Schizosaccharomyces pombe: one gene and its partners. The protein of the gene in region 1 interacts with the protein of each later gene in a pairwise test. Each region holds a gene or a part of one and is shown in the gene's direction. Other genes may lie near its edges.

Region 1 (7,393 bases):
TGCATCACGACCAGCGGTAACAAGGACGTCAAGTGTTGGATGGAGTTTTAAGGCATAGACTCCGGAAAGATGCCCGTGATAATGGCGGATCACTTTATTAGTTTCGAGGTCCCAGCATTTTACCATTTTGTCTTCACCACAGGAAAATAAATATGGATGACGGGGAGATACTGCTAATCCTCGCACAGTGGCGATATGCCCAGTCAATGTTAGCTTAAGTACTCCAGACGCTAAGTCCCATATTTTGATGGTGCGGTCCCCAGCACCCGTGCAAAACCATTGATTACCGGGTTCAACATCTACGCATCGAACCCAACCCAAATGACCACTAATAACACGCATAAGAGTCCATGGAGCATGCCATTCAGGGCGAATCTGTTCGGCAAGAGTGCGCTTTACGAGAGAAGCCTGGGATTCTCCGGCAATTCTATGTGCTGCTTCAGGAACTCCTTTAATTTTTTCTAAAGATTGCATGGAAACCTGCCCTGCTATTTTCTTATTAGGATCTGAAAACTTGGTGATCACTTGGGAGGAAGGGTTTTCACTGTCTGCTCTAACCGTCAAAGCATTACTACCAATAGTGTCTTCTTCGTAATGTCGGTTCTTCCGTTTTCCAACAGTTCCTCCAAGAACAGAACCATATTCTAAATGTTCTTTGTATGTTCTTTTGAGATTTTGAGCTACAGTATCGTCAAAACTGGTAACTGACCCAAACTCGGCTCCAAAAAGAGTTTTTGATGTTCTAAGACTATTTGTAGTCAAAGAAAGTACATCTGTATCATCCGATATGTTTTTTGCTTCTGTCATAAATCTGTTAAATTTTTGGTAGAGGATTTGTAGGTAGATGGCAGTTGGACTGACTTATTTGAAGCATCATAATCCACGAACATTAGCGAACGAGAAATATTAAGTACTAATATTTGAGAATAAAGTAGCTTACAAATGAATTGTCAAAATAAAAAAAGGGATGGTTATCAAGTAATAAAAGTTTGTAATATATATACATTTATTAAACGGTCTAGTTACGGATTATTAATAACATGATGTTCTAAAAGCGATAGTAGCAATAAATATATGGAGAGGAGGAAATGATGGAAAGTAATTAATTAACCCTGAATTTAAAAAGTAAATCATGCACAGGTAGTCTTGTCTAAAAAGAAAAAAAAGAAGCGGTAGAGAGGATTTGTGTATAAGTCAGGTAGTACTCAGAAAATACAAGTCGAAGAAAAGATAGATCAAAACGGATCATTGTAAAGCATTCAAAATTGAATTAATGGCCCATTGGACGTTATCTCTCACAGACATTTTACTAGAAGGGCTTAACTGTATACGCTTATCAAGCAATTTCCCTGTCACATCGCCATTGACAAACAAATGGGAATGACCATGTACATAGCCAGGCCAAACATAATTTTCGAAATAATGTGGGGGGTCTTGCCAAAATCCTGGAACAATTTGGAGTTAGCCTTAACTGAAAGGTACAACGATTAAACACAGGTGTTATGTTTTATCTGGATAGTTGAATTCTTACCTTCCAACGTTATATAACCAGTACGGGCTTCTCTACGACGCTTAAGCGTATCAAAATCGGTCACCAGCATCAGTCGAATATCAAATGCGTTTATAAGGTCTTCATTAACGTACATCATAAATCCGTCTACGAAAACGAGATGCTGTTCCAAAGTTGGAATGGCCGGTGCCTTGAATTCTTTAATTATATCAGCGTATTCTATTAGGGCTTCAGGAGCAACATTTTTATTTTCCCTATTTCGAAGGTGAGTAGGTAACACGCCATGATCACGGATATAATGCAAATTTTCAAGGAAAGCGTCTAAATTCAACGACTCTTGGCAATCCCAATCGGCAATGCCGTTTTTGACTGGTATCTCAGCATCAGTCTACAAAACAAACGAGTTAGTATATCAATAGGTGCTTTGGCACTACATAAAAACACAGTGTTTGCTTCATCGATAAGATTCAACCATCGGTTTTTAAAACGAGGGTACGATTTATTCTATGACACTTGCAAAATTCGCACGACTAGGCAAATAGACGAAATAATCTAAACGAACCTTGTAAAAATCATCTTCATGAACGAGAGAAGATCCTTCAAAAATGGCATGTAAAAGCTGGCATAGAGTCTGTCAAAACAAGAAAGAGAAATTGGTTAGTACTTCATTTTTTTTTTATTTTGGAGTTTTTGATTTTATTTTATTCTTTCTTATTAATCAAAATTATCATACCGATTTTCCACTACAAGAGGCACCACTAATTTTTTCTTGTTAATAAAAATTCATTAAAACAATTGCCTGTAGAACTTACCTAACCCCAACAATGATAGTTTTCCGAGTCATTCTAATGATAATATGGAAAAATGAAGGTAAAAATTGAGACAAGAAGCCTGGACAGAAGCTGGATACTGGAATTCGGTCTGTTATATTTGCACAACACAATTAATTAATTACCAGCCAAAAGCTGTAAGACAGGTTAACCGAATTTTAAAAAGAATTTGGATTTAAACAAAGCGCCTAGTATCTTAAATCAAGCTCGATGATTATTTGTTATGGAAATAAACGAGAATTTTAAAAAGATATGTGGTAAAGAAGCCGAATCCACAAAATTTTATAACAACCAACAAAACTTTTAGATATACAAGAACAAGTAAAAGATCACTTATAACGATTTCGCAAGTATAAGAAAATGGAAAAAGAAAGGAGTATACAAATTCTTTACGGTATAAATGGAGGATTTGAAAGATAATTTAAATTCACCAAATATTAACGCTTTCGAATACGTATAAGAATTTTTATATGGCAAATATGCCCGGTAAAGATTAATGGTGTTTTGAGTTATTGATCGTTTAAAACAAGAGTGAAATAGGAGGAAGGCTGGAGTTGGTAGTATGAAGATATGGTTAGTAGTATAATCAGTCAATAATACAAGGCTTTGGATGATAGCAATATACTAATCCGCTCCCGTCATGTATCCTTTACGAAAAGATAGGGTAGATAATAAGAGTAAAAAATACAATTTTTGTTTAAAATATATATATTTTTTGATTAGATAAAAAAAAGTGGTTCACTTTTTTTATTTATTTAGCCAAAGTATGTAGGAAATTGGAATTCTTTAATTGTTTTGCGAAAATTATTTTATTAATTATTGCTTTTTCCTTTCAAATTTGTGATAAACTATGTCTGAATAATATTAGTTTGCTATTTTCATTTTTTAAGTCGTTTTAATGTCTTTTGCTTATTGTTTACATTACACTTACTTAGTTCTACGGTAGCAAAGTTTTTATCAACTCCATGAAATGCGAATATTTCGATGAATTTAAAAAATATATGTATATTGGTTGAGTTTCTTGAGGCCTTGTTAAACGATTTTTGTAGTACTACACTTAGTAAATATAAAATTTTTTAACACTAGGTGTTTGGCTTCAGTTTTCCAATTTGACTAGCTTCAATTGCTTTTCCAAAAAAAAAATAAAAAAATAAATAAAATATAATAAAGCTATAAATTGCATGTAAATTGGATGAAACAATAGAATTAGTAATAATAATAAATACTGAATTCAAACATTAAGGAAATTTAAGGACACTATTTTAAAAATGAAATCAATATTGATCGAATTTCAATGGATCTGTATTGAATGCCAATGTAATTAGGAAATTAAAAGACCTTTTGGTTTAATAAAAAAATAAAAAAAGCCGTACCGATCTCTACCTTTGTTCATTATATCAATCTAATATGAGACGTAAAACTACGGATTATGAATAGTAAGTTTTCAAAGAGATTATAAAATAATACTCTTTGCATAAATTCTTCTCATCCTTTCAATTAACAGCGAAACGACGAAACACTGACAATCAATTAAATAAAAAAAAATACTATATCAGTGAGGAACGTCAAGTGAAGCTCAAGATTCGAAGTTGGCAATGAACTTTTATCCTCATAGAATTTCAAATCTATCCACATGTCTGTAAACAATGCATCAATGTATGGATATTACCAATGTACTAAACTGATCGTGGACAAATAATCTCAGAAAAGTCAATTTTTAAACAATATTGTTTTTGTAAAGATACTACTTCTGTTGTTTAGTCCAAAAATCCACTTACTCTACTATGTGCTTTCCTTTTCTTATAACGCATTGTTACGAACTTCATTTATTTACTTTTCCTTACAAACCTTCCATTCGTAAACCAGCATGTGGAAAACCTAAGATATCCCAAATTTTTTGGAGCCTTTAATTGTGCAATTGTAAATAAAAAATCTACATAACAAATTGTCTTAACCAAGTTGACAACGTCTTAATTTGTTGGTGCCAGCAGTGCATTTTGCGTGCAATGCGCAGAAGGGCCAGATCCATTCGTTTTAGTTCTGACGATAATGAAGATAATGAAGAAGATGATGATTATTACTCCAACGCACACAGCGAAAAATCAGAGGATCATTCAAATCATATAAAAGTTTCACATTTTGATCCTTCCTCCTATAAACAAAAGTTAGTTTCAGTGCGTGAAACTCAAAGAAATAGAAAATTCTCTTCGTTACAGAAACATCTAAACACAGAAACGCCTTCTTTTTCTGTTTCTATAGAAAATCCTTCAAAGCCTTCTGCGGCATTCAATGATGCATCATTGGGAAAGAAGAGTACTGAACATCAAATTGATGGTATCAGAAATGGAAGTAGTAACCTTCAAATGGAAGGAAATGATAAAGAGCTAGACACTGATAATAATGAGGACGAATCCACTACCTTTAAGGATGAAGAAGACGATTTGATAAGTCCGAAATCATATCTTACTTCTTCAAAAACCTTTTCGTATCCAAAAGCTCCAACAGAATCAACAAATGGTGATTATTTAGATGAAGACTACGTAGATGGACAAAGTGATCCTGAGTCTTCGAACGCCAGTGATTCTGACTTCGCGGATAGCCCTGATGATTTGACAAAAGTGCGCTCACCCATTCCAAGTAGAAGAGGACGTAGAAAAAGAAAAATGAGAGGTCCAATTTTGCCAGTTAAAAAAAATTTAAGGGTCAAGAAGGCAATGAGTCCTCTTCGCGCTGAGCGAAATTCACCAGATTTCCGACGCAAACTTCGTAGTCGTGACAATCGACCGAATTATCATTTATTTGACTATTACAACGAAATTGCATCTTCCCCAAATCCTTCAACAACGAAGATTACTTATAATCCGCCAAAATTGCCTATGAAAGATTTTGCTACTCTTCCCATCGGTTATCAAAGTACTTGCGATAGTGATGAAACGAGTGAGTTGAGCAGTACAAGTTCAGAGCAAACTTCCGACGTTGAAGGACTTAATGCTTACAATAATTTGGGCGCTAGTTCAGATATTGAGAATGCTCCCTCCTCTCAACTTCACTTTGGTCACATAGACGAAAAGACGATTAGAAGTACTGACCCTTTTGCCAATAGGGAAAATCTTGATTTCAATTCCATAGGAGGACTGGAAGATATTATACTTCAACTGAAAGAAATGGTGATGCTTCCTTTGTTATATCCAGAAGTATTCTTACATCTGCACATCACACCTCCTAGAGGTGTCTTGTTTCATGGTCCTCCAGGGACTGGAAAAACACTAATGGCTAGGGTGTTGGCCGCTAACTGCTCGACCAAAAATCAAAAAATTAGTTTCTTCTTGAGAAAAGGGTCTGATTGTTTAAGCAAATGGGTTGGCGAAGCAGAAAGGCAACTTAGGCTTTTATTCGAAGAAGCTAGAAGAGTACAACCCAGCATCATATTCTTTGATGAAATAGATGGGCTTGCTCCTATTCGATCTTCAAAACAAGAGCAAACTCACAGTTCCATTGTCTCCACCTTGCTTGCTTTAATGGATGGCCTCGATACGCGTGGACAAGTAGTAGTAATTGGTGCTACTAATCGTCCCAACGATCTTGACCCGGCCTTAAGGAGACCCGGTAGATTTGATCGCGAATTCTACTTCCCTCTACCAAATAAGCAAGCACGTATGAAAATTCTTGAAATCAATTCTTTACATTTTTCTCCAAAAATACCAGAGAGCTACTTATTACACTTAGCGGAATCTACGTCTGGTTATGGTGGAGCAGATTTAAAAGCTTTATGCACCGAAGCAGCCCTTAATGCAGTTCGACGCACCTTCCCCCAAATTTACACATCTTCTGACAAATTTTTAATTGACCTGAATGAAATATCCGTTAGCATTTGCGATTTTGTAGTCGCATCTGAGAAGATTGCTGTTTCTACACGAAGAAGTGATGTTAAGCCGAATATACCTATTACGGATTCCCACAAAATTCTGTTTAAGAAAAGTATTGAGGTTATAACGTCAAAAATTAGACGACTATTAAAACTTGACGTATATTTACCAACGGTCGAGTCTTTACAAAAACTTCCTGCTGAAGAGTTGATGAGGCAAAAAGAAATTAACTCTCTAAAAACTACCATGTCATTCCGCCCAAGACTATTGATTACTGATATTTATGGATATGGATGTACTTATTTAAGCAAAGTGCTTTTCTCTATGTTAGATGGTATCCACGTGCAGTCTTTGGATATTTCTGAGTTGTTAATGGACACAACCACATCTCCGAGGTCTTTGTTAACCAAGATATTCTCTGAAGCCCGAAAAAATGCGCCAAGTATTATATTTATCAATAACGTAGAAAAATGGCCATCTCTATTTTCACATAGCTTTTTGTCAATGTTCCTTCTTTTATTAGATTCAATTTCCCCTTTAGAACCTGTCATGTTACTGGGGTTTGCTAATACTAATCAAGAAAAATTGTCGTCTACCGTCCGCTCCTGGTTTCCTTCTCATCGAAGCGAATATCATGACTTGTCGTTTCCTGATTATTCATCAAGATACTCTTTTTTCCATTACTTGCTTAAACGTATTTCATTCCTTCCCATTCACCAAAAGAGCGCCGAAGCAGCAAGCGTTGATATTTTACCCAAAGTACTACCAGTTTCTAAAACATCAGATTTAACCGACAAAGTAAACCGAAGACAAAGAAAGAACGACAAGAAAATAAAAAACAAAATTCAGGTTAAACTTAGCTCAATACTTGAAATGCTTCGCTCTCGTTATAAAAAGTTCAAAAAACCGATAATAGATTTAAATGACATTTACATTGATGAGTCGAACGAAAGGGTGGTAAAAGGAAAATCGAAGGATAATTTTGAGTATTTCCTTTCAGGAAATACAGTCACTCGTAAAAAAGACAATGCTTGTTTCAAAATGATGAACTTTGAGGAAATTGAAAGACGCTTATGGAGTGGACGTTACTGTACTCCTAAAGAGTTTTTGCGTGATATCAAAATGATCAAACAAGATGCGATCCTGTCTGGCGACGTGAACCTCAAACACAAAGCCAAAGAAATGTT
Region 2 (7,393 bases), on another chromosome or scaffold:
TCCATAAACGGTAATTCTTTTAAATCGTACTCGTTAGATAGTAACAATTTGGAAACTAAGCGTGGATCGTGCTTCTTTTTTGTTTTTTTTGAGCGCTCAAAGTCTATACGTATAAACGCTCTCATAATTTGACTCGCATATTTATCAACACAATAAGCTCGAAGTTCTGGGGTATCGAGGTTGTCCGTAGCACTATCAATTATGGAATAAGCAAACTGGGGAAAGGATTCGGGAACAGAAATAGACTCCATAGTGGTTCTGTTTCCATCATGATACACGAATCGATATCCATCAAGCAAAAGGAAAATTTTGCCCAATACATGAACAGCCAACTTATGGCTCATTAGCATAGAAACCTCTGGGCGTATTTCATTGTACATGTACATAAGTAAAGTTTCTGCTGTCATGAAGACATTTTCATTTTCACCTTCCAAAACATCATCTTGATCCTCTGTAACACCTTGGGTTTCCAAATTTAGAATGGCAGCCATGTGACTCAACAGCTTTTCGAAAGCATAAGAGCCAAACGTTGTCTGAATTAGCTCCACATAATGACCATTCAATGCAGAAAAAAACGATTTGATTTGTCTACTCGTTGATAAAGGGAAAAGCTTTTCAAGAACCTTCGATCCGAACACATTGTTGCAGACAATTAGCTCTTTGCCTTGCACCTCACGATAAATGCTGTCGACAAAAAACCTGGTATCTTCGTTTTCTCTTGTAAAATGATTGGCAAAAGCCTGTTCAGCTTGTTGGAAGTATTTTTCTTCTTCGGGGTCCAAAGCACCAAAAAACGGTTGCACTGGTTCATTCGTGTAACGGTTTACCTGATATGCACCTTCATCATTTCCAGCGCCTTCATCGTTTTTTGCAATACCGGGAGAAACAACTGAATTAACTTCTTCCTCCTTTTGTTTGGCAGAGTGCTTTTTACCACGCGTTTTTCTTTTTTTTGGCATTTTGCTCTAGGATTGAATTAGCATTATAGGATTCGAAAATTTGTTGGAAATAATTTCTGTTATGCCTCTTTAATTTTAATAACGCATGGGGGTATAAAGTTTTATTGTGCAAGCAATACTACACTACGCTATATTACATTAGGGTATTCATCACTATATGTCATATATTAGAATACCAGTTAGATCCGCGTATTGATCATTGCGGACATTATCCTCTTATTTACTAGGATATTTTTCTAGAAAAATTATCAGTAAGATTATAAATAGAGTTACAACTTAACTGAGAAACGAGGTACAGTAATAAGCACTATTTAGTGACAGGTAACAGTTTGACCCATATATATAATACCTACATTGGTCAGCGCTTATTAACCTACTTATTATAATATAATAGGTCACAAGAATTATCACCGGGTTTTACGTATCGTTAAAAAAGACACTGAACTGCGTAAGTGTCACCTATTTTTTTTACCGTACGTTATGAACATAGCTTTTTAACTAAAATGTAAATAAATAATGATTAGATAAATTGCAACAGCATTTTAGAAGAGCTAATCATTAATATCAATCAAAAACATTTCTATTGTCTTAAATTAATTTTCTTTCTTTTTAAGAAGAAGATCCTTCAATAACAGTCGATGAGTTGATATATTGTTAAATTATTTAATTTCTTACATTCAGAAAAAGATTTTAGTAATTTATTGACAAAGAAAAAAACTAATGTAAAAAATTAAACAATTAGTTACTTATAGTCGTCTTTTTTTTTGAAAAAAATAATTAAAAAATCTCGTGAAAGAGTTTTTAAAGATTTATGCTAATTGTGAATTAAATTATGGGCAGTTCAGGTAATTCTTGCTTAAACTCAGCTACCCTTCTGTTAAAATGAACATCAGGAACTTTAAATAACCGCTATTTACATTATATACCTTTTTTAAGAGCGGCAGATCGAATAAGGTAATTAGGAATTTTCATAAATTAGTATTATAGAAAATATTTACATGTTGGTCGGGTAATTTTTGAGAAAACTCAAACAAGTGGGAGCGTAAATCTATTGATTAGCACACAAAGTCCAGATCCACACTTTTTAAACTATCAACAAAAAATGTATCCTGCGACAACTTTGTGTATAACTTGAGTCTAAAACAAATTTGGATAGCTCACAGATAACCTTTTGCTAGAAGACTTTAAATTTATTTAAATCCTTAAATTAAAACAAACTGGTAATAAATAAAACAGAAAAAAATTTATGTACATTCAACTTTCTATTCTTCGTCCTCTGAACCGATAGATTCGCTACCGTCCTCGCTGTCGCTGTTTTCGACATCCTCGTCGTTATCAGAGAATAAAGGTTCTTTAACATCAATATCATCCATATCATCAACATTTTCAAGAGATGATGCCTCATTCAAATATGAAACAGATGGATTTTTAGGGACTGGTGCAGCTTTTTCTTCAGCAAGACTGGAGTCCATTAGTCCATGCTTTGTCGCGTAATCATTTACTGCTCTAAAGACACTTTGATCAACCATATCGAATGAATATATTGTACCACCAGCTTCAAAATTAACTGTAAATGTTCGTTGCAAAACATTACTATAGGAAAAATGCTGGATGCTAGCTAGTTCAATGAAAAGTATAGGTTTACGGAAGCCCCATAGTATGCCAGTACGCAGAAAAAATAAATGCCCTATTTGATTAGCAATTTTGACACAGAATTCATCCTTTGCATACCATCTTTAGCTTTATAGTTTGCTTCAACCCCATATGTCGTGCCATTGTCCCCCGTTTGCGGGTTTGGACAAACAAATTCTTCGACAGAAGGAGACAAAGTACTAGTGCCAATAAACTCAAAGTAATCGCGAAAAATATCCCATGAGTTCGTGCAGTGGGTGAAGGATCGTAAACCTTCAACGAGGTTGAGCTTTTTCAAAGGATACGGTGCCGTAAAAAAGACAGGTTCTTTTACATTATCACTTGAAACAATATTTTCTGCCGACGATTCACTTTTAAGGATGATCACAAAGTTGTTTTGAACATTAGCTTTCCTTGGACATGGGACATGGATTGCACAACGAATTTCATTCCAGGGAAGCCAAAATTCAATTAAATTGGGTTCGCCTGGTAATGTTACTGCTATTCCATTTTCATAAATGTAGACGTCTAGCTTTTTTCGCATAGGTGCCTGAAACGATAGATTAAGTACTCCATAGACCAATTGACCTAACTCATGTTGAACACGATCCTTTCGTTTTAAACTTCCAGCCTCCTTCACTTGGCCTGATTCGTTTTCCTTTTGCAATGTATTGATGTACTTGCAAATTCGATGCACTAGAGGCTGTATACTTTTTGTTTTCCCTAATTTCATTAGACTAAGGAAAAAAGCATGTACTCAAACCTTACCATATTGTTTGATTATATCTTTTGCTAACTCAGAATCTTTGGCAAATGCCTTTTCTATTTCATCGTTCACGTTGGACTCCATTAGAGATGGCTGCCGGCTAGAATTTATTGAGTCTTAAACAAGGGCTTCGACAGCACACCACACCTCAGCTAACAGTAACAAATGTAATAGCAACTATTTCCATTATCATGCAAATGATTTCGATCCAATAAAAATTTTATCCCAAGTGGTTACGTTCAAACTTCGGTTCGCTGTTGACTTTATGTTAGCAACAAATTTTTATTTTATGGATCAATATGAATATGCTTAATTTATAATTGCTCAATTTTACTCAACAAAGGTAGTCATTTTACATAAATGAGATAAAAACTCATTCTATTATCGTATCAGTTACTTTCGTATGAAAAGTCCAAAAAAGTTGGGAACATTTTGTGAAACGATATCGATTTTCCCTTTGATTCTTTTTGCGATCTATAGATAAATTTCAGCTGTAGAACTGATTAGCTTTCTTCAGCATTGGGAAGGTCAGATTGTTGCTCCTATAATCGGATATGGTTTCCCTTAAAGTTGTTATTGTTTCGATTTTGTCAAAGAAATTATTAAATGATCCTAAAATTCGTTTTATTGGTTTATGTTGTTCCCGATGTAATCAACGTGTGTTGACATTTACAAACGTAAACAAATAGTTTGTTCGCTAGGTCTAATGCAATGAGGTGTTTTAAGACATAAGCTATTTGTTTTGCCTATTTTTCCTTTACCCTCAACCTCCCTCAAAACTGACGGTTTGTATAAATATTTAAGGAAACAATTTTGATAATTGTCCTTACAAAACTTACATAATTATCCTAATTGCTTTCGCGATCAACCGATTGAAAGAATTCCTATATTCATATTGTATTTTTTAAGCGTTCTTCCGACATAACTATTAATTTCTTTTAATCAATTGTATAATTATCCACGAAAAAGGTAGAATGGATTTTAGAATAACAGAAGGATCTTCCCCAACAAGCTTAAGTGTTTCGGAAAAAATTGCAAAGTTGGAATCGTGCAATGATAGTCGCATCACTTGTCGTCCTGTGAGAGAATCAAAGCCTACCTATACTTCCGGCCAAAAGCATTCAGCGTTGCTTTCGAAGTTGAAGCGGTCTAAAGTTACAACCGATTTTTGCAAACTTGAGGAATCAAAGGGAATAATTTGTCAAGAAAATTTGCATACGGAAGGCGCTAAAAGCAAAACGGAAAATATTTCTGGAGAAGACAAATCTTCTCAGAGAAGGACACGCTTGAAGCAGATTCAGGAATTTATAAGTCATCGTCGCTCTTTTCTCAATTCCAATGCCAATTCTGTGGAGTCTGAGAAAATCTTGGCTGAAAACAATCATATGTTTAACGTTAAAAGCAAGTTAAGCAACAAAGAATCGTTTATTAAAACCCGGCGTCCTCGAACAAATGGTGAACTTTCTGATTTAAGCCTTCAGCCTAAACGAATATTTAGTGAACCCGTAAACTCTCATCCTTCTCAATCCATGTTCGGCAACGGCGTACGAGCTTCCTCTGGTTCTTACTCATTAAAACGTGATTTGAAAGATTATGAAGAAGAACTTCCATCTTCTAAAAAGCGCCAAAGAACGCCGCCTCCGATAGTCGTTACCAATTTTCCTCAGGAAATATTTCCTTCAAAAAAAATTAGTTTATCTGCTAAGAGGAGGATTCAGGGGAAGTATTCCGGGGAAAATGTTAGAGCAAGGATCGAGCTAGCTAGGGAGAGAAATAGAAAAAGGGACTATGTTTCAAATTTATCTAAAGGGCATACTACAAATGCTTTAGAAGAGAATCCCTTTAATTTAGGTCCTAATTATCGGGCTTCCACCAGAAAATGTAACAGAATAAAGGAAGCTATAAACCTATTTGCTGCTAAAAATGGTTCAATGGAAGTACCACCAAAAGTGTCAGTCGGTGATTCAGTTCTGACAACTTCTCAGAAGTTTTTGCAAGTGATAAGGGAAAAGACTGCGCTACTAATGAACCAAGATTCTAATTCAGTACAACCACAAGCATTGGCTGCAGCAGAGTCTCCTACAACAAAGGCTCCTACAACAAAGGCACCGACATCTGAGGCTCCTCCCAAGGGTCATGTTAAACAACTAGCCAAACAACTAGGAAATATTTACATGCCACAATCGATAAACAATGTTGAACCGACATCCCATTCCAGCATATCTAAGGTAGTTAATCCATCAGAGAAAGTTATTTCAAAAATTGAGAGAGCGTGTCTAGCTGGAAATGGTAATGTACACCCGAGCATAAAAATGGAAAAAAATTTAGAGTTGAACCCTCATCCAAGAACTTTGAACGCTACTGAACACAAAATCAATAGTCGTATACAGGTATCGAAACTTAACACTAAAAATGAGCTTGCTAATGCTGATCCCAAAATGTATTTACTTGAAAATCTTTCTGACCGCCTATATTTTTGCAAATTAGCAAAACTTTTGCTCAGGAAATACCCTTTAGACATCGCGGAACACCAATTTGCGTTAGTTTATTCAAGATTCCAAAGAATACCACTAAAGCAGATTTCTTGCTTAAAACAATCGTTGGTTGCGTATTATTCAGTGCTTTCGGAGGTTGGTATTACAAACGAAATAATGTTGCGTGAAAATCGGTTTTCTTCACCCAAAACCCCCGAAGGTCTAGTTTCAATTTCAAAATTACTATTGGATGACCGAGAGCATCTTAGTCATGATGAACGTAGCTATATTCAACAATTGCAAAGTCAGATTAAGTCTCAGTCAGTTCACCATGAAAACGCAGCTGAAGAAATTCGCAAGATGCGCAATTTACGCAATTCACGCATAAATAGTCAGCAGGTTGGCGAAAAAGTTTTTGTGAATCCAGATGTCAAAACTATGGATATTCAGGAAACGTTCCTACAAGATTATGAAGATGAAACGTTTGCTAACGAAGGTCTGAGCGCTTCAAAGTTTAAAGAAGAGTTTTTGCTTATAAGTGATAGCAAGAGTGATCTCAATTCCGAAGAAATAGCAACTCCCAATTCTTTGGAATTTAAAAACAATCCAAGAATTAAAGTTCCACGATCACTTTTAACTATTTTGAATTTACACGACCGTTCTCAACTGAAATTGTTCGAGGTATGTCACAATTCAGAGTTTAAGGACCCCATTAATTTATCCAATTGCTTACGGAATTTGCTAGAGAAGCAGCTATTGTCGTACAATTTTACAGATTGGTTTGCTAGTTTGGGATCTGAATATGAAAATGTGTATGTAAAATTCATATCACACTATGACTTTTCAAGTTTAAATGTTTACGCTTCCTTTCAAAAATTATGCTGTGATCTTTACTATGGCTCGGATGATTACATACACTCTCCTATTTTGCAAGTCTTCGCATCTTGTTGGCTTAAGCAAAATAGTAATTATGGGTTTTTAAATGAAGACATTATTGTTAAAATAGTATTGATTTTAATTGATTTACATAAATCAACCTATTCTAAAAAGCTCAATTCTTATGTCGTTCCGATGGAAACTTTTGTGAAATATGCTCTCGAGAAACTTCGTCCTCTCATATCTCCAGATTCAGTTTGTATTTTGTCGAAGGAGGACAAAAAGCATTGGCTCAAATATAAGAAGAACCGATCAACGTTTGCCAAATTGCTTTTCTCAACGTGGAGCAATTTACCAAGCGATATCGGTTTCATACTTGAATGCATGCTAAAAGAATATTATGATACGTTTCTGAAGTCTCCATTTGCAGTACCAAATGCCGTGCAAGCACAGTTGCACAACCAAGTAAGAGGTGATTTGACTCCCAAAAGGAATCGATCATCTCTGATATCTGAATTAATGAAAAGTTCAAAATTACTAAAGCAGGAGAGTTCTGGAAACAAAAACAGCACGAGTCTTGAAAGTGATGCTTTTAAGGAATCTTCGTTTGTTTTGAATGAAGAGAATGGAGGAATTTACGCAGGAAAGGAGATTGATCTTCCTGAACCATCAGTTATAGATGGTAG
Region 3 (7,393 bases), on another chromosome or scaffold:
AGTACCCCACTAATATCAATAACAGTAAGTTTGTCACATTCCAGGACTGCTTGTGGTTTGATAGGATACGTATTGGTGACAACAATCTATTGTTACGTTAGTCAGCTTTCCGTGATATTTGACATTACCTGTTCAATGTATTCACAAGATTGCAAATCTTTTAAACATTTATTTTGAAAAATTCCATGGGTACCAATCACTATAACTCTTTTAGCTCCACATCGCTTAACCAAATGTTCGGAAGCGACAATGAAAGCTGTTGGATTTTCAATTGTATCGTCAATTAATAAGGCGGTTTTACCGTTCACATCGCCGACAAGGGTGATCATACGTTCAGCATAAATGGACGCAGACATAATGTTTTCCTCTTCATCATCATCACTGGGACATCCTCCCTGAGAATACAAATTAACTTCTTGAGCATAATCTTCTGAACAAACACTAGCTGGGGTAGTTATAATTTCTTCGTCATCGATAATATGTCCCAAAAGGTACTTAGCAGTATGGATACGAGGACGATCCAAATATACAGAACAATTAGTAACATGTGTTTCAGTTGCTTCTGTTTCATCCATAATGGAATCTTCAAAATTTTGGGAAAAATGAGAACTTCGTTGTCTATCAGTGTTAATCAATGCAAAGTCCAAATTCAAAGTATCCGCCAAACTGGTAACTCTTTTGGCACCACCAGGATTCTTCGAAACTACTACCGCTTCTTCCCAATCATCGACGTTTCTACGAATCCATTCAGCTATGTTAGGCTCTGCATATAGATTGTCGACTGGGCGAGTGAAGAATCCCTGCATTTGAGAAGCATGCAAATCAAGAGTAATTATATGATCAACACCAGCAACGGTTAATAAATTGGCTACCATTCTAGCTGTAATGGCATCTCGATACTTCCGCATTTTAGATTGTTTGGAATAAGGAAAGTAAGGCATGACAGCTGTGATTCTTTTAGCAGATCCACCTTTACAAGCGCTTATAATAATAAGGAGCTCCATTAAGCTGTCATTTACAGTGGAACTTCCACTTTGCAAAATGAAAACGTCCTTATCTCGCACTGACTCACGAATTTCAACGCTTGTCTCGCCATTTGCAAACCTTTTTAGAGATACATCACAAGGTGTAATTCCAAGTCGGTTAGAAATGAGATGTAAAAGTTCAGGATGAGAACCGCCTCCAATGATTGTAGCACTCTTCATATTCCCTATAATATATTTCCTCAACTTACGGTTCCCGAATTTCAAAATCTACAAAATTACTCAAGTGAGCTTCAAAAAACTATATATGTGCTAGAACTACGAGAAGTAATTATATTATCGTTTTCCCGTTAAACAGATGCGTCTAGGTATAGGTAATTGAGTAAAAAGAAGAGTGTAACTTTCTGTTGTTTTTTATTTGCCAGTTTTAAGCATCGGTATACTTATTTAACGTAACTGTAAAATGGCACGCTAAAACGATAGTTTCTTTGTTTTCCCAACATGCTAGATAGGTCACATGGACTCATAAATTGGCATTCCTAAAATGTTAGATAAATATACAAAATCAGCTGAAATATTACTATTAAGTCTAGAAAACAAAAATAATTTAAATTTGACAAAAACTTATTTTTAAAAATGTTTGACATTTTTCGCTTCTTTTGCGTTTAGTCATAACAGTAGTCGCGGTAGTGTTCCAAATATTATAATAGCGATTTCTAAGAGAGTCGCTATATTGAGTGTTTGCCGTAAGCTGACTGAGCGACGAACGTGCTAAGAGCGTAATACTATTCTTTAATCATGAATTCTATCGTATCTAAGTATACACAAAGTACTAACAATGATGACCCAAAAAAAATAATAGAAGAAGAAGGATTTACAAATCGATTTGATGTCGTACCAGTGCCTCAATCTTCTCTTTATTTACGAAACTTAACAGATGAAACGAAAAACAAGCATTGTCTTATTAAAATGAATCATGGTACTACTACTTTAGCTTTTCGTTACCAACATGGTATCGTTGTTTGTGTAGATTCGAGAGCATCTGCCGGTCCTCTTATTGCTTCACAAACCGTTAAAAAAGTTATAGAGATAAACCCATATCTTTTAGGTACTCTTGCTGGTGGTGCAGCTGACTGTCAGTTTTGGGAGACAGTTCTAGGAATGGAATGTCGTTTACATCAACTTAGAAATAAGGAGTTAATCTCTGTTTCTGCTGCTAGCAAAATTCTTTCAAACATTACTTATTCATACAAGGGTTATGGACTTAGCATGGGTACTATGCTTGCTGGAACAGGAAAAGGTGGTACTGCACTTTACTACATCGACAGTGATGGCACCCGATTGAAAGGTGATTTGTTTTCCGTTGGTTCAGGTTCTACATTTGCGTACGGTGTTTTGGACTCTGGATATCGCTGGGACTTATCTAAACAAGAAGCTCTTTATTTAGCTCAGCGCTCTATTGTTGCTGCCACTCACAGAGATGCATACTCTGGTGGCTCAGTAAATCTTTATCACATTGATGAAAATGGTTGGGTCTTCCATGGAAACTTTGATGTTGATAGTCTTATATGGGAAGCAAAAGATAACGAAAACTCCTTTGCTCATATCCCTCGCTAAACTCATGCTTGCTAGTAGTCATGTGTCATCGGTGTATTAAATGAGACGTTGTTATTTGCTATTCCCTTCTAGGTCAACTGTCATTTATTCATTTATTTTATACCCTTATATTTGAATGTCGAAGTCAATTCCGTAAACTATACATCGTTTGTAACTTCTTTCAGAGAATGTACAATTTCACATTGCCATATATTTGATTGACTAGCTTAACATGACTTGAAATGAACCTTGTTTTCAAATCTGTTTTTATCAGTATTCGAGGAGGGGGTTATATTACCGTGTAAGTTATCGTTCATTAATAAATCTATACACACCATATGATAATTGTTCCATTAATGTGATGAGTACTAACGATTGTTAAACAATTAAGCTGCAATTGGGATTGTTTAGCATTTAGTCAACTTAATGATTTTCGCTGAATAAGATTATTTTATGTTGCGGTATGCTATGAGTTTCACTATAGTGAGTTTTTTAACGATTCGATAAAAACTATACAGATTTGTAAAAAGCTATAGCAAGAGTATCGTTGCTTCCTAAAGCGTCGTTATGTTGTCACGGTACTCTACTTGAAAGCATATAGTACTTTCGTTTGTAACACGTTTGCCCTTTTTATTATATCGCCTTTTTTTACAATGAGTAACGTTTCCAGTGAAGATGGAATTGCTCCTGAGACACAGCTTATCATTGATGACCCTGATGTCCAGCAAATCGATGCAGATGAAGATCTGCTTGATGATGTGCCGGACGACGTCGATGTAAATGATATCTTTAAATCATTAAATTGAAATATAGCTAACCAACTTAATATAGTGCGTAGAGCTTATTCAGTCTCGTATACAAAGCATGGCATCTCTTGGACTTGAAAGATTTAAAAATTTACAGAGTTTATGTCTTCGCCAAAATCAAATCAAGAAAATTGAATCAGTTCCAGAAACATTGACTGAATTGGATTTGTATGACAACTTAATTGTCAGAATTGAAAACTTGGATAATGTCAAAAATCTCACTTACTTGGATCTGTCTTTCAACAATATTAAAACGATTCGAAACATTAACCATTTAAAGGGCTTAGAAAACCTCTTCTTTGTCCAAAACAGAATTAGGAGAATTGAAAATTTAGAAGGTTTAGACAGGTTAACGAACCTTGAATTGGGGGGGAACAAAATAAGAGTAATTGAGAATTTGGATACTTTAGTTAATTTAGAAAAACTCTGGGTTGGCAAAAACAAAATAACCAAATTCGAGAATTTTGAAAAATTACAGAAACTTTCTCTTTTATCAATTCAATCAAATCGAATAACTCAATTTGAAAACTTGGCCTGCTTATCCCATTGTCTTCGAGAATTATATGTATCGCATAATGGTCTAACTAGTTTCTCTGGTATTGAGGTCCTCGAAAACCTTGAAATTTTGGATGTTTCCAACAACATGATTAAGCACCTTTCATACTTAGCGGGACTAAAAAATCTAGTAGAATTATGGGCTAGCAATAACGAACTGTCTTCTTTTCAAGAAATTGAAGACGAGCTTTCTGGTCTTAAAAAACTTGAAACCGTTTATTTTGAGGGAAATCCTTTGCAGAAAACCAATCCTGCTGTTTACCGTAACAAAGTTAGATTATGTCTTCCACAGTTACGCCAAATAGATGCAACTATTATCCCCAAAACTTCGAAGCAATTCCCCTAATCGTTATATGGATTGACTATAAAATCTCTTAATTTAAAACATTTCAATATGGTTTCCCTCCGTTAATGCTATACAACCAAAGTATTGAAAGAAAGTATACGACTAAAGATTTATTAGATACATCTTACAATTGAACAGTTCTCTACGATTGAGAGTACACTTTAGTAGTAAAATGCTTTTTTCGTTGTCATCTATCTATTAGATAGTATGTTAGTTGATCACGTTTACACTCATACTTGAAAAGTTATGTAATTTGCTGGAAAAGAATTGCGTATAAAATCGGTGGCAGGTAGATATAAGTTGGCAAATAGTTTTATATGGTTTTTCTTAGTTTTACGTATACTGGTAAATTCTATATTTATAGTTATCTCACATAGTCGAAATACGTGTTTAGTTTAAAAGCTCTCGCAGATCGCGATAAAAATAATACTCTTATTATTAAATAGACTATTGGTAAACAGTGTACTTTGTTTCGACTAATGATAAAACTGAGCACCTAACGCTCAATTCCAACAAGGTAAGATGCTTCTTGTTTATTGCTAAATTTACTAAATTGAAAAAGAGATGATCTTATATTTAACAAAATCTCTCTCTAAAATCTTTCTATAACTGATAATTACTCAAAAGTATTTTACAAGCTTACTATACTGTGTAGTAGAGAGTGATAAAATGTTAATTATGCCACAAGCAGTTGCTAATTCGCTATATTTGATAACGATGCGTTAAATATTCGTTACATGCTTCAAAGCTGATAGGTTTAACCTGAGTGTTCCCACGCGATAGTAAAGGATCAAGTTAACTAGAACCAACAACTAAAGCAGGTGTTGGAGTTTTGTTAAACCATTTGAATAATGAGACCAGAAGTTGAGCAGGAGCTTGCTCATACTTTATTATTGGAGTTGCTTGCATACCAGTTTGCATCTCCTGTCCGTTGGATTGAGACGCAAGATGTAATTCTTTCTCCTCCAGTATCGGCTGAACGTATCGTCGAAATTGGACCTAGTCCTACCTTAGCTGGTATGGCTAAGCGTACCTTGAAATTGAAATATGAGAACATGGATGCCGCTTTAAGTATTAATCGTGAAGTTCTTTGCTACTCTAAAGATGCTCGTGAAATCTATTACAACTTTGAGGACGAGGTTGCTGATGAACCTGCCGAAGCCCCAGCTTCAACCAGCTCCACTCCAAAGGTTGAAACTGCTGCTGCTGCCGCTCCCGCTGCCACGCCAGCCCCTGCCCCAGCACAAACATCAGCCCCAGCTGCTGCTTTACCTGACGAGCCTCCCAAAGCTCTTGAGGTACTTCATACTCTTGTTGCCCAAAAGTTGAAGAAAAGCATCGAGGAAGTCTCCCCTCAAAAATCTATCAAAGATTTGGTTGGCGGTAAGTCCACTTTGCAAAACGAAATTCTTGGTGATTTACAGAAGGAGTTCGGTGCCACTCCCGAGAAGCCAGAGGAGGTTCCATTGGATGAGCTTGGAGCTATCATGCAGTCAAGCTTTAACGGATCTCTTGGTAAACAATCGTCTTCTCTTATCTCACGAATGATTTCCTCAAAAATGCCTGGTGGTTTCAATAATTCTGCTGTTCGTGGTTATTTAGGAAACCGTTATGGTTTGGGTCCTGGTCGTTTGGAGTCTGTGCTTTTGTTAGCGCTTACCATGGAACCTGCATCACGTTTGGGCTCGGAAGCTGATGCTAAAGCTTGGCTTGATAGTGTAGCTCAAAAATATGCTGCTCGTAATGGTGTTACATTATCTTCTCCTACTGCTGAAGGCGGTTCTTCGTCCGGTTCTGCAGCTGTTATCGATGAAGAAACCTTTAAGAAACTCACCAAGAATAATACCATGCTTGTTACTCAGCAATTAGAACTATTTGCTCGATACCTCAATAAAGACCTTCGTGCTGGCCAAAAGGCTCAAGTTGCTGAAAAGGTTATTTCCGATACCTTACGCGCTCAATTAGATTTATGGAACGAAGAACATGGTGAATTTTATGCATCAGGAATTGCTCCTATTTTTTCGCCTTTAAAAGCTCGCGTTTACGACTCCGACTGGAATTGGGCTCGTCAAGATGCTCTTAAGATGTTTTTTGACATTATCTTTGGTCGTCTTAAGCATGTTGATACTGAAATAGTCGCTCGTTGTATTTCTGTTATGAATAGATCCAACCCTACTTTACTTGAATTTATGCAATATCATATTGATCATTGTCCCGCCGAAAAGGGTGAAACATATCAACTTGCTAAAACCTTGGGCCAACAGCTAATTGATAATTGCAAATCCGTGATAGATGCTCCTCCAGTTTTCAAAAATGTGAATCATCCAACTGCTCCTTCTACGACGATTGACGAACGTGGTAATTTGAATTATGAAGAAATCCCTAGACCAGGTGTTCGCAAATTAACTCATTACGTTACTGAGATGGCCAAAGGTGGTAAATTACCAACGGAGTCCAAAAACAAAGCTAAGGTACAAAACGATTTGGCTCGAATTTATCGCATTATTAAGTCTCAAAACAAAATGTCTCGTTCGTCTAAGTTGCAGATTAAACAGTTGTACGGTCAGGTTTTACATGCCCTTTCCCTTCCATTGCCTTCTTCCAACGATGAACAAACGCCTGTTAAAGAAACCATTCCTTTCCTTCATATTAGGAAGAAGTCCGTTGATGGTAATTGGGAATTCAACAAGTCATTGACTGGCACTTATTTAGATGTTTTAGAATCGGGTGCTAAGAATGGTATAACATACCAAGACAAATATGCTCTAGTGACTGGTGCAGGTGCAGGCTCCATTGGTGCTCAGATTGTTGAAGGTCTCCTTGCTGGTGGTGCTAAAGTTGTAGTTACTACATCCCGGTTTTCGCGCAAGGTTACTGAATTTTATCAATCCCTTTACACCCGCCATGGAAGCCGTGGTTCATGTCTGATCGTGGTTCCATTTAACCAAGGATCTAAGACAGACGTAGAAGCTCTTATTGATTATATTTATGACGAAAAGAAGGGTCTTGGATGGAACTTGGACTACATTGTTCCTTTCGCTGCCATTCCAGAAAATGGTCGTGAAATTGATGGCATTGATTCTCGTTCCGAGTTTGCTCACCGTATT

Evidence for each region.
Region 2: the proteins of abo2 (region 1) and spo7 interact in a two-hybrid assay, tested with the Schizosaccharomyces pombe proteins (one large-scale study listed by BioGRID).
Region 3: the proteins of abo2 (region 1) and sds22 interact in a two-hybrid assay, tested with the Schizosaccharomyces pombe proteins (one large-scale study listed by BioGRID).

The regions. Positions count from the first base shown.
Region 1 is NC_003423.3:1,439,526-1,446,918, reverse strand, and holds the start of abo2 (ATPase histone chaperone), read left to right. Parts: upstream 1-4,197; 5' UTR 4,198-4,346; coding exon 4,347-7,393. Other genes in the region: Prp19 complex WD repeat protein Prp5, read right to left, coding at 1-807; nrk1 (nicotinamide riboside kinase), read right to left, coding at 1,246-1,445, 1,532-1,898, 2,073-2,141, 2,244-2,268, 2,323-2,354. UniProt on the Schizosaccharomyces pombe protein: Probable ATPase which may play a role in nucleosome organization.
Region 2 is NC_003424.3:3,244,267-3,251,659, forward strand, and holds the start of spo7 (ArfGEF Spo7), read left to right. Parts: upstream 1-3,492; 5' UTR 3,493-4,331; coding exon 4,332-7,393. Other genes in the region: RNA-binding protein Nop9, read right to left, coding at 1-959; histone H3.3 H4 heterotetramer chaperone Rtt106, read right to left, coding at 2,222-2,646, 2,691-3,314, 3,360-3,441. UniProt on the Schizosaccharomyces pombe protein: Appears to have a role in sporulation.
Region 3 is NC_003424.3:2,570,313-2,577,705, reverse strand, and holds sds22 (serine/threonine protein phosphatase PP1 regulatory subunit Sds22), read left to right. Parts: upstream 1-3,164; 5' UTR 3,165-3,232; coding exon 3,233-3,355; exon of another isoform or gene 3,356-3,410; coding exon 3,411-4,286; 3' UTR 4,287-4,546; downstream 4,547-7,393. Other genes in the region: SPOM_SPAC4A8.14 (ribose-phosphate pyrophosphokinase), read right to left, coding at 1-86, 129-1,205; pts1 (20S proteasome complex subunit beta 5), read left to right, coding at 1,782-2,600; fatty acid synthase alpha subunit Fas2, read left to right, coding at 5,138-7,393. UniProt on the Schizosaccharomyces pombe protein: Essential for the mitotic metaphase/anaphase transition. Positively modulates protein phosphatase-1, possibly by forming a repeating helical rod that is capable of enhancing a PP1-dependent dephosphorylation activity.